Linked DNA regions of Saccharomyces cerevisiae S288C. Changing the gene in region 2 together with the main gene of any one other region gives a genetic interaction. Each region holds a gene or a part of one and is shown on either strand. Other genes may lie near its edges. The genes, in order: ATP11, SGT2, SEC18 and GPT2.

What was found.
Region 1: mutations in SGT2 (region 2) and ATP11 together harm fitness more than expected from each alone (negative genetic interaction), as found in Saccharomyces cerevisiae (2 studies listed by BioGRID).
Region 3: mutations in SGT2 (region 2) and SEC18 together harm fitness more than expected from each alone (negative genetic interaction), as found in Saccharomyces cerevisiae (2 studies listed by BioGRID).
Region 4: mutations in SGT2 (region 2) and GPT2 together harm fitness more than expected from each alone (negative genetic interaction), as found in Saccharomyces cerevisiae (2 studies listed by BioGRID).

The regions. Positions count from the first base shown.
Region 1 is NC_001146.8:42,805-46,014, forward strand, and holds ATP11 (Atp11p), read right to left. Parts: upstream 1,477-3,210; coding exon 520-1,476; downstream 1-519. Other genes in the region: prephenate dehydratase PHA2, read right to left, coding at 1-271; DAL82 (Dal82p), read left to right, coding at 1,643-2,410; tetratricopeptide repeat-containing protein EMW1, read right to left, coding at 2,504-3,210.
Region 2 is NC_001147.6:338,389-341,797, forward strand, and holds SGT2 (Sgt2p), read right to left. Parts: upstream 1,591-3,409; coding exon 550-1,590; downstream 1-549. Other genes in the region: ribosome biogenesis protein TSR3, read right to left, coding at 1-233; SLG1 (Slg1p), read right to left, coding at 2,890-3,409. UniProt on the Saccharomyces cerevisiae protein: Co-chaperone that binds to the molecular chaperone Hsp70 (SSA1 and SSA2). Regulates Hsp70 ATPase activity. Required for recovery from heat shock.
Region 3 is NC_001134.8:398,108-402,461, forward strand, and holds SEC18 (AAA family ATPase SEC18), read right to left. Parts: upstream 2,784-4,354; coding exon 507-2,783; downstream 1-506. Other genes in the region: RPG1 (translation initiation factor eIF3 core subunit a), read right to left, coding at 1-170; SAGA histone acetyltransferase complex subunit SPT7, read right to left, coding at 3,146-4,354. UniProt on the Saccharomyces cerevisiae protein: Required for vesicle-mediated transport. Catalyzes the fusion of transport vesicles within the Golgi cisternae. Is also required for transport from the endoplasmic reticulum to the Golgi stack.
Region 4 is NC_001143.9:566,085-570,649, reverse strand, and holds GPT2 (bifunctional glycerol-3-phosphate/glycerone-phosphate O-acyltransferase GPT2), read right to left. Parts: upstream 2,733-4,565; coding exon 501-2,732; downstream 1-500. Other genes in the region: TRAPP complex core subunit BET3, read left to right, coding at 1-322; CCP1 (cytochrome-c peroxidase), read left to right, coding at 3,452-4,537. UniProt on the Saccharomyces cerevisiae protein: Dual substrate-specific glycerol-3-phosphate/dihydroxyacetone phosphate sn-1 acyltransferase, catalyzing the first and committed reaction in the de novo synthesis of glycerophospholipids and triacylglycerols (TAGs).

The DNA.
Region 1 (3,210 bases), on a different chromosome or scaffold from region 2:
CTGCTGGAGCAGGTAAGGATAGGGCTTTTTTGATCATCCTATCACGCAAGAGATCATAGGAAAAAACTACTTGTCCATTGGTGGAATTTTCCAACGGTACCACTGAATAATCTATACTAGTGTCGTTCTCCAATTGGTTAAAACATTGGGGGATAGAGGCTGCTGGGAGGTACTCAACATCAGATGTTGATTGAAATTGTTGTAATGCAGCTTGATGGGAATACGTACCTTTGGGACCCAGAAAAAGAACCCTCAAAGTCTTGCTGGCCATAATTGAAGGATGAATGCGGAAATATAATGAAGTTGCTTTTCGTACTTTTTTAGCCTGTTCTTTCTGCGTATTATATTCATCTACTAAAATTTTTATTTTCATTTTTCATTATGAAAATACAAGAGTCATGCTGATAACTGTGTAAAGAAACTGTACGCTTGTCGCAGATGATGTAGTACGTATTTTATTTACAGGTGTCATTAATATATATATATATATATATATACGTATACGGAAGTAATTCTTCGTTAATTTTCCATGGACTGTGATAGCGAAATCAATTTCTCGACGGTGAATCCCGGAGAGGCCTTAGAGAAATCTCTTAACAACTGCACTCTCTGTTTAGCAACTGGAGTTTCTTCACCCATTGCACCATAAAACCTTTGCACGTTTAGCAATAACAGCTGTGCATCCTGTACATTCACGTTTGTATCCGGTTCAACATGGCCATTCATAAAAACAATTCCCTTATCCTTGACCAAATCAGAATGGAACTGCAAGGTAGTATGTGGCCTTGCAAATTCCTGGTGTAGTTTGTATTCTGCTAGGGAAGTCATCATACAATGTGTTGTTTGGGGTCCGACAAACTGCCATTGGATGTAGTGTAGTTCCATTCCCTGTTCTTCGTTCGGTTTTGCATCCTCAGATTGAACTTGTCTAGGAAGTGGCAACACGAATATAGGGTTATTCCTGGCATTTGCCATCATCTTATCATAAACGGAGACAGGAATCACAGCGCATAATGTATTATCTTTTTGTGCCCATCTTGCTCTCCAAAGAAACTCTACTTCCTGTTTCGATAAGTCCTTCAGTTTTCCAACATCCAAAAAAGAGTCCAATGTTTTGAAGGGAACTTTAGGAGCACTTGGATCGAGAGGACTTCTTGATTTCGTCATCAAATGCTTGGAGTTGTTATTTTCCATTTGAGTTTTTTGTTGGTAATCCTCTAGTTCTTTCAGGGGGTCGATTTTATTAAATTCCCGCTTCTTAGACTCTATAGTCTCTTTCAAATGATTTTTCAACTCTTCTATGCTGTTAAAACCTTGTTTTTGAGCCTCTTCCAAAAGTTTCTTTCTATACTTCTGCTCTGGGCTGGAAGAATAAAAACGAAAAACAGGAACTGTTCCAATTGCCTTGTTAAAAATGGGCGACAGCTGATTAGAAATATGGATTCTAGTGCCGATTTTTCTGGTTAGTCTCCACATAGTTATTCTTAAATCTCTTTTGTTCTCTATTTTCAAGTCTTGATAAGTTCTTCACATCCTTCGATTACGGCGTCAAAATAAGCGTTATTTCCATTCGGGTGAGTTGAACCATTGATAACAACATGGTTTAACGATACTTTGAAAGGTTTAGGCGGAGCCAACCATAATGGATGAATCGGTGGATCCTGTGGAGCTGCTTCTACGACTACTGATACGGCACAAACCTCATCTGAAACCATATGCCTACAGACAAGATAGCTGGCAAAGGGTGCTCGATGAGTACAACAGACAGACTGGGTCAAGATATAGACAATCAAGGACGTTAAAAACCAAATTTCGTCGACTGAAGGACCTCTTCAGCGCAGATCGAGCCCAATTCTCTCCTTCCCAGTTGAAGCTGATGGGAGCACTCTTGGACGAAGCACCAGAACATCCAAGACCAAGAACTAAATTCGGAAATGAATCATCTTCATCCTTATCATCATCTTCTTTCATTAAAAGTCATCCGGGGCCTGATCCGTTTCAACAATTATCATCCGCTGAACATCCGAATAACCACAGCTCCGACGATGAGCATTCAGGCTCACAACCGCTGCCCCTGGATTCAATAACGATTGGAATTCCGCCTACTCTTCACACAATCCCCATGATTCTGTCTAAGGATAACGACGTCGGGAAAGTCATCAAAAGCCCTAAGATAAACAAGGGTACAAATAGGTTCAGCGAGACAGTACTGCCTCCACAAATGGCTGCTGAGCAATCGTGGTCGGACTCTAATATGGAATTGGAAATATGTCTAGATTATCTTCACAACGAACTCGAGGTGATAAAGAAAAGGCAAGAAGATTTTGAGTGTAAAGTTTTAAACAAGCTCAACATAATTGAGGCTCTCCTTTCACAGATGAGACCACCCAGCCAAGGAGATAAAATATAAAAACTTCTATTAGATATGCTTGATTCATGTCCATATGTATCTATTTATACAAACATTACGTAATATACACAGATTATACATGAAAGGTGCTCTTCATATTTGGCTTCTTGCTTCCACTAGCCTATCCCAACCAGGAGAGTCATCCCATCTGCCTTTGCCTTTACTCATTAGAGCTTTGATAGTAGATCTACATTTGTATTTCCAGTCTTTGCAAACCAGACTGCCTGGCCCATATTTACCTTCCATTTCACCAAGTGATTCATAGGCAGCCACCAAATCTTCACAAGCATCCACTGTATCATTCCAAACCTTTTCTTCAACTTCTAAATCAGGATTGTGAGAAATGGCCCTATAAGCCTTCTCGTGGCATTCTAGGGCGGCCCATGGTCTCTTCCTCCAAAGTTCTACTCTTGCGACCAGTCGCCAACATCTTGCACTGGTTGTAATTACCTGAGGTAAAGTGTTACAGATAAACTCAGTACAGCTCTTTTGAAAATAAGATAATTGCTGCGGCTCCTCTGGATATTCACTAGTCACTAATAGTTCTACTAGTTTTTCAATAATTGGTAAGTCGATGGAACCTTCGCCAGATTTGTCCCTCCTAATACTGACTAATTGTTTACATGCAGTTAAGACATCCTCCCACTCATTCAACTTAACAGCAACAAGCATGTAATTCTCCCAAATTTTCCAGTTCTTTTGAGCGTCACATGAAATGGCTCTTTTCAAACAACTATAAGCTTCTTTCAATTTATCCATTTTCGTATATGCAGCGCTCAAATTTGACCATGAAAGAGCAT
Region 2 (3,409 bases):
CCAACTCTCAATGATTTAATTAAGCCCAACCTTTCAAGTTTTTTACCACTGCATCTCTTTGGATCGCAATGATCAAAATCCCACATAGCCAGTTTAACAGGAAACTTCATTTTTTCTGAATTATCGTACTTCATTTCCATGCGCCTATGGTTTTGCCTGGAACTGTGCCCATTAGCGCCTCTCTGTGGTCTTCCATTTTTGGGTTCGTGCATCTTATTTTTACCTTTTCCCATTGTTACTGCTTACTCAACTGTCTTACGCGAGAAGTTCTATACAGATTTACATAAAAAGCTTTTCGATAAAGTATTTCAAATAGACATTTACTAGTAAAAATTTTTTTATGTAGTTTCTCATCACATTATATTTTCTAGTCTTCTCCGAAAATCGACGAATTTACCTGAAAAAAAGAAAAAGTAAACTACAGTCCCTATTTAAGTATTTCGCAAGTGATCTCAAAGTAAAAATAAAATTCCTGGTAACACTCATCCTAGATAGAGCTATATTTGTATCTACATAACATGTATTGCATTAAAGGCTTATTTCAGTCCACTATTGCTTGTTCTCATTGTCTGGTGTTTCATCTGTAGATTGGGCACCTGCTCCACCAAAAAGATTGCCTGCCATGTTTCTGAGTGCTGGGTTATTCATCAAGTCAGACAAATTTGGAGTTCCTCCGCCTGAAGCAAAGCCTTCAGCCATCTGTCTGATACTTGGATCTTGCATCATTTTTTGAATATTCTGCATTGCACCTGGATTGCTCATCATTTTTTGCGCAGCCTGCATCAATTGTGGGTTGTTCATTAAACCTCCAAGACCACCTCCTAATAAAGAACCAAGATCTGGCAATCCACCCGCACTAGCACCCTGACTTGCATCGACATCAGCATCCCTTGACTGTTCTGGAACGGTTTTCTCCAGATTCAAAGATTGCTCAACCTTCTTCTTGGCACTTTCATAATCCCTTTTCATAGCTTCTGTTGCATTATCGCCCTCTATATCAAGAACCTTTTTGTATGCTTCAAGGGCTTCTTCGGGTTTACCTTGCGCATATTTAGCAAAACCCAATCTAGAGTAGCCTCTGAAATAAGATGGGTCAATAGAAATTGCAGATTCAGCGTCTTTGACCGCTTGATCATATTCTTTCAGGGATGAATGAGCAGCCGCTCTATTGGCGTAATAAATAGCATTCGTTGGTAAAACTTTAATGGCTTCAGTATATTTATTGATTGCCAGTTCGTAATCCTTGTTGGCCATTGCTTTATTACCTTGCATTTTCAAGTCCTCAGCTTTGGCTTTAGTTTCCGCATCATCTTCTGGAATATTAATCTCGACATTCTCAGCATCGTCTTTCTTATTCGATTCTGGAACTCTTGACGCAGAATTTAATATATCAGCAAGATGTTGACCCTTGAATTCAGACTTGCCTAAAATGCCTGAAACAGCTTCTCTTTCAAAGCCAAAGGCTTCAGAGATACAGTCCATAGCAACATTTAAAGAATCGGCGCCATCTTCTGAAATTTCTTTCTTTTCCACAATGGAAGAAAAGTAGTTTACAATAAGGGCAGCAATTTCTTCTTTTGATGCTGACATCGTACAGTAGATTTGTATTAATAAGATATCACTTGGTCAGAAGCTTCTATTCAGTTGTCCGATTATATCGCTCGTACTCATTTTATATGGTGGCAAAATTTGGGATTAAGCGTAGGGCAATAAAACCTTCTCGGATCTTCCATTTTTTTCGATTGGGAAAATTTTAAGACTTGAAAAAGTTTGGAAAAATACAAAAGAAGGGCTAAGTGTTGTGATTAGAATGTCATGACAATAAGGTTAAAAGCAAATATTATGCCGCCTATAGCCCTTTAAAATAGCATAAAAGACCTTTGTAATTTCTATTCAATGTTAAAAAAAATCTTCCCCGCCAGGACTTGAACCTGGAATCTTCTGGTTCGTAGCCAGACGCCGTGACCATTGGGCCACGAGGAACAGATCTTGAGAAAATTAGAGATATTTATCGATACACGTACTAAAAGCAAATTTCATAGTTTTATTTCCCAATAATGCCCATCATCCATTATTATTATATTCAAATTATTATGCCAGTGTGAAAAAAATGGAATGATCATTCCCATACATATTGATGATTTTCGACATAATTATATGCAATGGTATACGCAATTGTGCAAACATGACAATTTTGTTTTGATTCTTTCATTCCATTTTTTGTAAAGGAATAATATCCCTATATAATATGCCAGAGGTCTTTCCTCGAGGATACAGGAATCCGCAAAATGGAATCAAAATTTTACATCATATATTATAATCACGTCTTCCTCCTTTTTCATGCATTACTACTCACGCATCCTATCACATAATCAATCCTTGCGCTTCAATTTCATTAGATTGAAGAAAATATGAATATAAATTTATTAATCTCCTACTTTATATCGTCTTTCAACGCGGTATTTTTTTAATAATTTCTAGTAAAGTGGTTATTGTCACTAGAAGATAATTAGCTATTAGTTTCATAACAATTTGTTATTTTGAAAATGTATAGTTTTATTAGGTGGTATTCATTTCAAAGAATTAACATGTTTAATGTTTGTTAAATCTATGTAACTAAGTTAAGGTTGGTATTCAAATATATCATAAAAAAATTAATGAGTAGAAAAAAAAATAACTAATCTAATTTTGTTGTTCCTATTTAATGTTCCTCGTTACTTCCAGCTCTCCAGCTCTCAAATTCGAAATGTATGAATTTTTAGAGGATCATCATAATGTGAAAATGGAGATGATTTGGCAAAATGAAATCGGAAAAAGAAAAAATTAATGGGAAGGAACAAGACTTGCTTGGCAATAGTTTAAGAATATAATAATTTTTTTTGGGTTTCTTCAATCAGCTTCGTCTGGATTGACCACTGTTAAAACGTTGTTTTTCCCTCCTGGTCCGCCATTTATGAATGTTCCGTTACTTATTCTCCTTGAGTCGTCGAAAGGGTTAATATCAGTTTGCCCTTTGGTGTGCTCCTCCTCGAAGCTACCTGAAGAGGGCCCGTGATTAGATGAAAATGAAGAGGCGTATAGTTTATCAGGGTACTCAACTGGTTTTATCGCCTCTTGGTATTCCTTTTCCATCCTGTCTTGTTCCCGCTTCATATTAATGTGTCTGACAATCAACAAGATACAAAGAGCAATGGCTACGGCTCCCACTACACCACCTACAACGCCGCCTACAATTGCCCCTACATTGGCTTTCTTTTTATGAGTTTTACTTCCACTCGTAGAGTCAGATCCAGCTGTACCTGTGGCCGATCCTGAATTCTGTGCACTTGCCGTGATGGTGTTCGTGACAAAAATTGTGGAACCGCCCTCAGTGTGAAAAGTAGTGGAATAGATTATCGAAGTGGCGTCC
Region 3 (4,354 bases), on a different chromosome or scaffold from region 2:
TCCAAGAATTTAAACACGACTGGCTCAACAGTTGAAGGTGTAGCCCAACGGATTCTTCTGGCAGTTATGAAATCATGCAAAGATTGTAAAGCAGCTTGTTTTTCGCCAACAGAAATAAGTTCATCGGCTCTCTTAATGGCATTTTCAGGACGGAATGGTGGGGGGGCCATCTTGATGTTTCCTGGGCGTTTGTATGGTTTATTTTGGAACTCTCTCTATAGTTGTAAGTATATCTACTTTCGATTTAGTTCACCAAGAAAAATTTTTCACCTGGCAAAGCTTCTCGGGCAAAGCGACTGAAAAATTATCATCTTTACCCGGTGGGTGATAATTATGACAGGCAGATTCCAATGACAGAATAAAAGGAAAGGATGCCTTGGTTTTGATAATTTTATAAAATTTATCACTAAAATATATACCATAGAGGAAAGAACTTGTTCACTAGATCCTTTCTGATTGGAAGGGATAAAGAATAAAAATACAAGGACATGAAAAATTTGAAATAATTATGCGGATTGGGTCATCAACTCAACAAGCTCGTTCACGGGATCTTCATCGTGCCTTGCGGTTTCAATGTTGGTCAAGGTCTTTTTAATACCGACATTGAAGTTAGGACAGCTCCTTGATAATTCATTAATAACTTTAACTCTACCAGCATCGTCAAGAAAGTTTGATTCTATCATGACGTTGTTCAATTCATCTAAATTGGTCATATTTGGAACTGCTATCTCATTGTCGAAGCAACTCAAGATATCCATTTGTTGAAGTACCGAATAAGCTGATGTAGTAGTCATGATCAATAAACGACGGTCTTGTGGGGGTTTACGCTTCAATGCAACCTTTAGCATTTGTAAAATGTTATTAGAGAATCTTGGACCAATTGGTACCCAATCAACTAGAGTCTCTAACGAATCAATAACAAGAATGTTTAGTGGAGATTTATACGCATCTCTGAAAGTGTTATCAATATAGGCAATTTTTGCGCTTTCTGACATGCCTGACAACTCGTTGGGAGAAATTAACCTGATGAATGGGAATCCAGATTTTAAAGCAATTTCAGCGGCTAAAGCTGTTTTACCGGACCCTGCAGGGCCGTGGATTAATAGAGATACTAACCTGGATTTATCACTCTCGCGAACTTGGCGGACGTAACGGGCTCCGTTCTTCAATATTGAGTTAACTCGTTCGGAATAAAGCATCATTCCACCTTCCACACATGTTTTCAAATCTTCTTCACTAATCCCAAAAGCGGGAGTAACATCGTTGAGTGCATTTAAAAAGTCTTCTCTTGTTACTTTAAGTTTTGCTATATCTTTAGTGTTAAGTTTTGTGGCACCTTTCCCGATGTTGACGGTTTTGTTGATTGCAAAAGAACTTGCACTCTTCACTAAACCCTCAATCTCAGCACCAGAGAAGTTTTTTGTTAACGCAGCTAACTCAGCTAAGTTAACATCGTCGCTCATCATATTATTTTCCCTCATTTTCTTCGTCTGAATGTCGAAAATTTGGAGTCTTCCTTTTTCATCGGGTAAATGAATTTCAACTTGGACTTCAAATCTACCTGGACGCAAAAGAGCACTGTCTATTAAATCTTTACGATTGGTCATACCAATAACCAAAATATTATTCAATTGATCAACACCATCCATTTTAGCTAACAATTGATTAACTACATTGTCCCCTACACCGGTACCATCACCTCTTGAACCTCTCTGCTTGAAAACAGAATCCAGCTCATCGAAAATAATAATATGTAAGGAAGATTCCTCACCCTTGGCCCTATATTCTGCTTCTGCATCCTTAAATAAATTACGAATGTTTTCTTCTGAAGAACCAACGTACTTACTCAAAATTTCTGGACCATTGACGATTTTGGGCTCTTTGGCATTCAGCATTGTACCAATCTTTCTTGCAATTAAGGTCTTACCAGTACCTGGAGGACCGTACAATAGCAAACCTTTAACATGAGAAATACCCAGTTTTTCTATAACTGAAGGAGGAAAGATTCGACTTGCAAACGCTCTTCTGAAAATTTTAGTAAACTCTTTATCCAAACCACCGACACCCAAATCTTCAAACTTGAAATCCGGTCTGATCACAGCATTTGATCTTGGTCTTAATGAATTTGATGATTTCAAATTAACTAAACCATCTCTTCCTTTGAAAAAATTAATTTGTGTTTGTTTTGTCAAAATTCCCTTTGTCTCTATCCCAGTTGCAACAGCGGAGGTTGGTTCAATATCACCCAAATCGATTGCTTGGACATTTCTAATTTTTAAGTCAAAGAAATGGCCTTGGAACTCCATGATAAGGTACTGGGTGGGAGAAAATATTTGAGATTCGTAGCAACGAACAAATTGTTTGGCTAACTCATCTTGATCGAATACCGTGCTTACCGCCTTACCTCTAGCTCTGAATGAGATATCTATATCTATTGAACCAAGATACGATTGCTTACCGGAATACTTGAATAAATCAAATGCTTTTGCTTGCACGTCTTGATTTAGGGACCAACCACCCCAGGTACGCTGGTTACCGTTAAATCCAATGGTTCCCGGTGGAATGTCGTTGGAGTGTCTAGTTGTGAAAACAAATAAATTATCGATAATAATATAAATGTTATTAGGGAAATCATTTGGTGAGACAGCAGCTACGTTTGCGAGTGCATAGGAGTTATTTGGACAGTTTGACACCTTTAAATGGCGTGTACGGGTATCCATGTTTGTCATATCTGGTGGAGTATGATTTGCAGCAGCTTTTCCAAAACCAGGTATCTTGAACATACTCAATTTATAAAGGCTGAATATACGGTACTATTTGCTCTTATCTTTGAGAGAAACAACGGTAGTACTTAAAGGCTACGAATAAGCCAATTTCATGAATCTCGAAATTTGGTACGCCTAACGTATAGTGTGATACCGAATTAACCCATGGGAAATACCTTTTTTTAGTGACGCTACGCTTGTGTAAAGAGAAAAAAATACTAGGTGACATTTTAGAGAGGGTACTGCAGAAGTATAAAGCGTACTCTGAGTATTAAAGTGCATTGAATTGGAATCCTACATCAACTACAAGTAAATAGTACAACCTTTATAAGCAAATGTATTTAATTAAAGATAAAATATTCAACTATTTAGCGCGCTCATTATTGATTAAGGCGAGGAAGGCTCAAGCTAAATGAACTATTGCTGCCCATATTGGTATCATCAAAAGCATCATCCATATCCAAAGGATCTAAAGGTTGAGGCGTTCGCAAAAATAAGGAAGAATCTCCATCATTTTCTGCACCCACTTTGGCGTTTACAGTTGTTGTTGGATCCGCTTTTACGTCGTTTTCCAAGTCTTCTTCTGGAAGTATAAACGCGCTTGCGATCGGTTTCTTTTTGTATGTGGTACTTATCTTACCAGTAGGAGGTAATCTTGCCTTCGTTGCGGTTTTCTTTGAGACAAACTGATCCTCTTCTAGTAAAGCGAAAGAATTGTCTTCTGTGGAAGTCATTGAGGTTTTATCATTTGCAGATGACTTGCTTTGCTTTGCTATATAGGCCTTGGAACGTTCATAATCTTTTTGTAATAGGGGAAGTAGAGTATTCCAGAATGAACCAGCATCCAGCATACCTTTTGTAATTTTCTTATACACAATGCTGTCTGATTCTTCCGGTTGGATCTTTTTGGCCTGCACTTTGGTTTCCCCGTCAACAGTTTGAAACTGAGTAGTCAGTAACTGTAATGGAACAGATGAACTCAAAACTCCAAACTCCTTTTCTAATCCAAGCTCTCTAAAACCAAAGAAGTCTTCACCAGTCAATTCGCTGGCAAAGTCACCTGTAAAAAAGCTTTGGCTCTCGTCTTCAAAGTTTCTCTCGGACAACTCCTGCAAAGTTGGCCTTAATAAGGCTCTCAAAAAGCTTTCTAGTTTCTGTTTGATGTCCTGAAGTTTCTTAGTTTTTTTACCAAATTCAGATTCAACATAGGAAAATAGATCGTCTGGCCTGTTGATACCGTTTTCCAACAGTGTTGTTTGCAGCATTTCCACATTTGTTCCTCTATTTAAGGAGTTAGTTTCATGATGAAGCTTCAAAGTCTTTATCAGATTAGATAGGTAATCCCCGGCGATTTCAGTAAGCATGTTTATTGCTGATGGATGGGCAGTTTCAAACCCATTGGCCATAGCAACCTTAGATATGTTCTTATGCATGAATTTCCATATCAGCTCCCTGTTGTTTTTGTAATCATGCGTTGGAAGCTGTGACACCGGATCAATATCGAGTGAGTCATCAATAATAGTGTAATTATAAATGTGGTTGTTAAGGAAAGCGTTGGGATTGCTTCTGGAGTTTTGAGCCGATAAAGG
Region 4 (4,565 bases), on a different chromosome or scaffold from region 2:
CGAAGTACTAAGTAAGTGTGCATTCAAAATATTTTTAAACATCACACCCAACATAACGAACTGGTCGCATAACAAGGATACTTTTTCATTGATTTTGGATGAAAACCCATTGGCTGACTTTGTGGAGTTACCCATGGACGCTATGAAATCGCTCTGGTATTCCAATATATTGTGTGGTGTTTTGAAAGGGTCACTTGAAATGGTGCAGCTGGATTGTGATGTCTGGTTTGTGTCGGATATCTTGAGAGGAGACTCTCAGACGGAGATCAAGGTTAAGTTAAATAGAATTTTAAAAGACGAAATACCGATCGGCGAAGATTAGTGGACATGTAAGCTTTTTTTTTTCGTGATTTTTGTTATTATTGGTGTCGTTATTTAGGTATACATTATTTTCCTACGTAGAAATGTTATCCTTAATGTTTTTGTTCAGTAGTTACTTTCATATTATATTATTTACAAACATTGTCAAATGCTTTTTTTTTTATTTTTCTATTTTTTGATCATTCTTTCTTTTCGTGTTCTCTTTTCTGTCTTACCAGCGAAGCAATCTTCGAAGATATATTTGTGTTGCGACTGTTTTCCTTATTTAGATCAGAACTTCGTGCGGTTTGTACTATGGCAGGATTTTTCTCATCAAATTCATCCTCATCCTCACTAGTTTCACCTTCACTTTTCCATTGACCTTGCTTTGCATCAGAAAAAATTGGAATATCGGTCAACGAGCCTCTTGAATTCACTCTTGATAGGGCGTTAGAAGCTAGCGAGCCAATAGAATGTATAGAAGAAGAGCGGCTTCTAGATTGTACACTCATACGACTTATAGAAGACTCTGCATCAGAAGAGACATCATAACCGTCTCTCTTAGAGAATATCTCAGTCGCTAATTTATCGTAATCAGGGAAAACCAAAGGTCCTAAATCGTTACAAACAGCAGTCAACTCTAGACTTAAATTCTTTCTTGTTGTTTGGATTTCTTCGATCTTCTTACCGGGGTAAACAATAGAAACAAAAAGTGGTCTTAAAGATTTGAAAAGGTCAACACCGATTTCACCGGTCTTTAAAGAGGAATACGTGGTGAAAACCAATAACGCATAAAAATAGACAAATTGTATGAATGCGTTATTGGAAGGAACCCAGATGCGACAATAGTGTTGTTTTCTTGCCAAAATAATCAACAAGATCGAGTAAGTAACGTATAAAATTGGTGCCAATATTAACGCCACGATAAGTTTCCATGTGGCCAACAAATCGGTACCCTTAATTTTAACCAATGATTTCTTTAAACCCTCTTTGGCCTTCTTTTCTGAGTATACGCGACAAATAATGAAAATTGGAGTGAAGAGAATAGAACCCGGTAACGATAGTATAGCAAAGACAGAAAATTTAATCAATCGAACGATCAAAGTTACAAAGCACCTCAATGCTTCTAATTTGGTAGTTTTTAATTGCATCACCTGATGGTCTTTTAAACCCACTGAATCTAATTTCCTGTTGTAGTCATATACCAGTTTTTTTAAGTGAATAATTCTTGGATCATCTTTAAACTTGGAATAACCGAAAAGTAACCTTCTGTTGATTTCTACAATGGCAGGCAAAGGTAGCCTGACTTTTACCGGTTGATATAGTCTTCTGGCAGCCTGAATGACCATCAAAGTATCGTAATCTGGAGCATTTTCGGTAACAGAAAACAAAGAATTGGTGATCTTTTTTAGTAGTTTGGAAACGGTCTCACGTGGGGAGTCCTTATACATTTCGCCATATTTCCCATCCACCACTATAGGTTCGCCGTATTCTAAAACAGCTCTAGATCTGAATTTATTTCTGTGGAAATAATGCAAACCACAGGGTACAACAGCAACTTTCATGGTAGGATCAGCGGCTACTGCGCCCAGAGCCATAATGGCAACACCTGCCTTGATGGGTAGTAACGAAGGACGGTCATGAGAACCACCCTCGGGGAAAATACCTACACAGCCCTTCGTATGCAAGTGATCAAAAACACTCTGGAAAGTTTCCGTATTGTCGATTTTCTCTGCATATTTAAAATTAGTACCATTAGTCAAGAGCTCCACCACTTTTGATTTCGATGTTCTGAATGGAGAGGACAAGATTATCGTTTCATCATCCGGGATTTCCTTGATTTGAGCATTACTTAAGTAGTCGGGCAATCCAAGCAAGGACTTGGCAGAAAACCTTTTCGTAAAGTTCACTGGTGTAGTCTGTGGGTTCTTGGAGCGGCCCTTGATGATTTCCGGGTGGTTCTTCAAGTCCGGAGCGTAAATCTCAAGATTCTCATCCACTGGCTTCAAGTTGTCCTGAATTCTAGGCACGGGAATACCGCCCATTGCGTGACCAAAGAAAGAGATAAATCTTTTCTTAAAACTCGACTCAGCAGTAACAAAACAAGGCATTCTGGATCGGGACTTTCCCGCTGATGTCTTCAGCAAACGGGTTTGCGACATTACCAAAGCCGGGTCGATGAACTGATTTGCATGAGGGGCACACACAAGGATGGTTGGCACCCCAACTTCGGGAACGTTATATGCACCACGTACCTTAATTTCTCTGAAGAAAATAGTGAACAAAATATTAAACAGAAATACAGACACATCATACAGCCATGTATGTATATTGTATACGAATCCATTGTATGAATTTTTGTACCGTCGGGACGCTTGAGGTACATGAGGAATAGGTTTGGCAGCGTTATGATCGGCAGCGGGAGCAGACATAAAGGAAAGGGAGCAATAACTGATCGATTAATCGGCTTTATTAGATGTGAAAGTAGAATTTTGCTCTAGCGACGAAGCACGAAAAGACACTATCTTATACTCAAGCTGCCACTTCTTCAGGGTCTCTCCTCTTTTCTCTCCCCTCTTTATTACTCCTCTCAACCTTACAATCAAAGTGAGCCATTTACTTCGAAAATGCGGAGCAACGGCGGGTTACTGGTGTTCCAGCAAGAGCTGTAATAATTCAATATAACTAGTAAGAATAGCCAAGAAAGCCAAAAGACGAGCTTGGATCGATGCGAAAATGTGGTCGCTCCACACCAATTACTAGTTATCATTTAGCGCTGCCGTGTGGCGACTACACTTCAGCGACCTATGTAGCTTACATAATGTCGGGATGATTTCTCCCGCAGCTAGATCTCGCCAATGGAAATTCCAAAGCCAAAGAATATCCTGCTTTGTCAGGAATTTCGTAAACCATGGTCAGGCCCAGATTTGTAGTTTTCTTTACCAACGACAGCGATGAGTTATTTGGTCCTGAGTACTGAGTAATATGACTCTCTTGGCATCCAGGGGCCGGCCCAAGCCGGCTGTTACCAATTTAGGAAAGGACCCTGGAGCGAAAAGTACTTAAGCAGAGACTATTGTACACGCTCGCTAACTCAAGAACATGAATTTCGCATTCATGCAGACGCAAACACACACGTATATCTACAATTATGACTACTGCTGTTAGGCTTTTACCTTCACTGGGCAGAACCGCCCATAAGAGGTCTCTCTACCTGTTCTCCGCTGCTGCTGCTGCTGCTGCTGCTGCAACTTTTGCTTACTCGCAATCCCAAAAGAGATCATCGTCTTCTCCCGGGGGTGGTAGTAACCACGGATGGAACAACTGGGGGAAGGCAGCTGCTTTGGCTTCCACTACACCGCTCGTTCATGTCGCCTCTGTCGAAAAAGGGAGGTCATACGAGGACTTCCAAAAGGTGTACAATGCGATTGCACTCAAGCTGAGGGAAGATGACGAATATGACAACTATATAGGCTATGGGCCCGTATTAGTCCGTCTTGCTTGGCACACTTCAGGGACCTGGGACAAGCACGACAATACAGGCGGGTCATACGGTGGTACATACAGATTCAAAAAGGAGTTTAACGATCCATCCAATGCGGGCTTGCAGAATGGCTTCAAGTTCCTGGAGCCCATTCACAAAGAGTTTCCCTGGATCTCCTCGGGTGATCTGTTCAGTCTAGGGGGTGTCACTGCCGTGCAGGAAATGCAGGGTCCCAAGATTCCATGGAGATGTGGTAGAGTCGACACGCCAGAGGATACTACCCCTGACAACGGGAGACTGCCTGACGCTGATAAAGACGCTGACTATGTCAGAACATTTTTTCAAAGACTTAATATGAATGACAGAGAAGTAGTTGCTCTTATGGGGGCTCACGCTCTGGGCAAGACCCACTTGAAGAACTCTGGATACGAAGGGCCATGGGGAGCCGCTAACAACGTCTTTACCAATGAGTTTTACTTGAACTTGCTGAATGAAGACTGGAAATTGGAAAAGAACGACGCGAACAACGAACAGTGGGACTCTAAGAGCGGCTACATGATGCTGCCCACTGATTATTCTTTGATTCAGGATCCCAAGTACTTAAGCATTGTGAAAGAATACGCTAATGACCAGGACAAGTTCTTCAAGGATTTTTCCAAAGCTTTTGAAAAACTGTTGGAGAACGGTATCACTTTCCCTAAAGACGCGCCCAGTCCATTTATTTTCAAGACTTTAGAGGAACAAGGTTTATAGGTCACTGAGGAAAGATATTATTTATTGG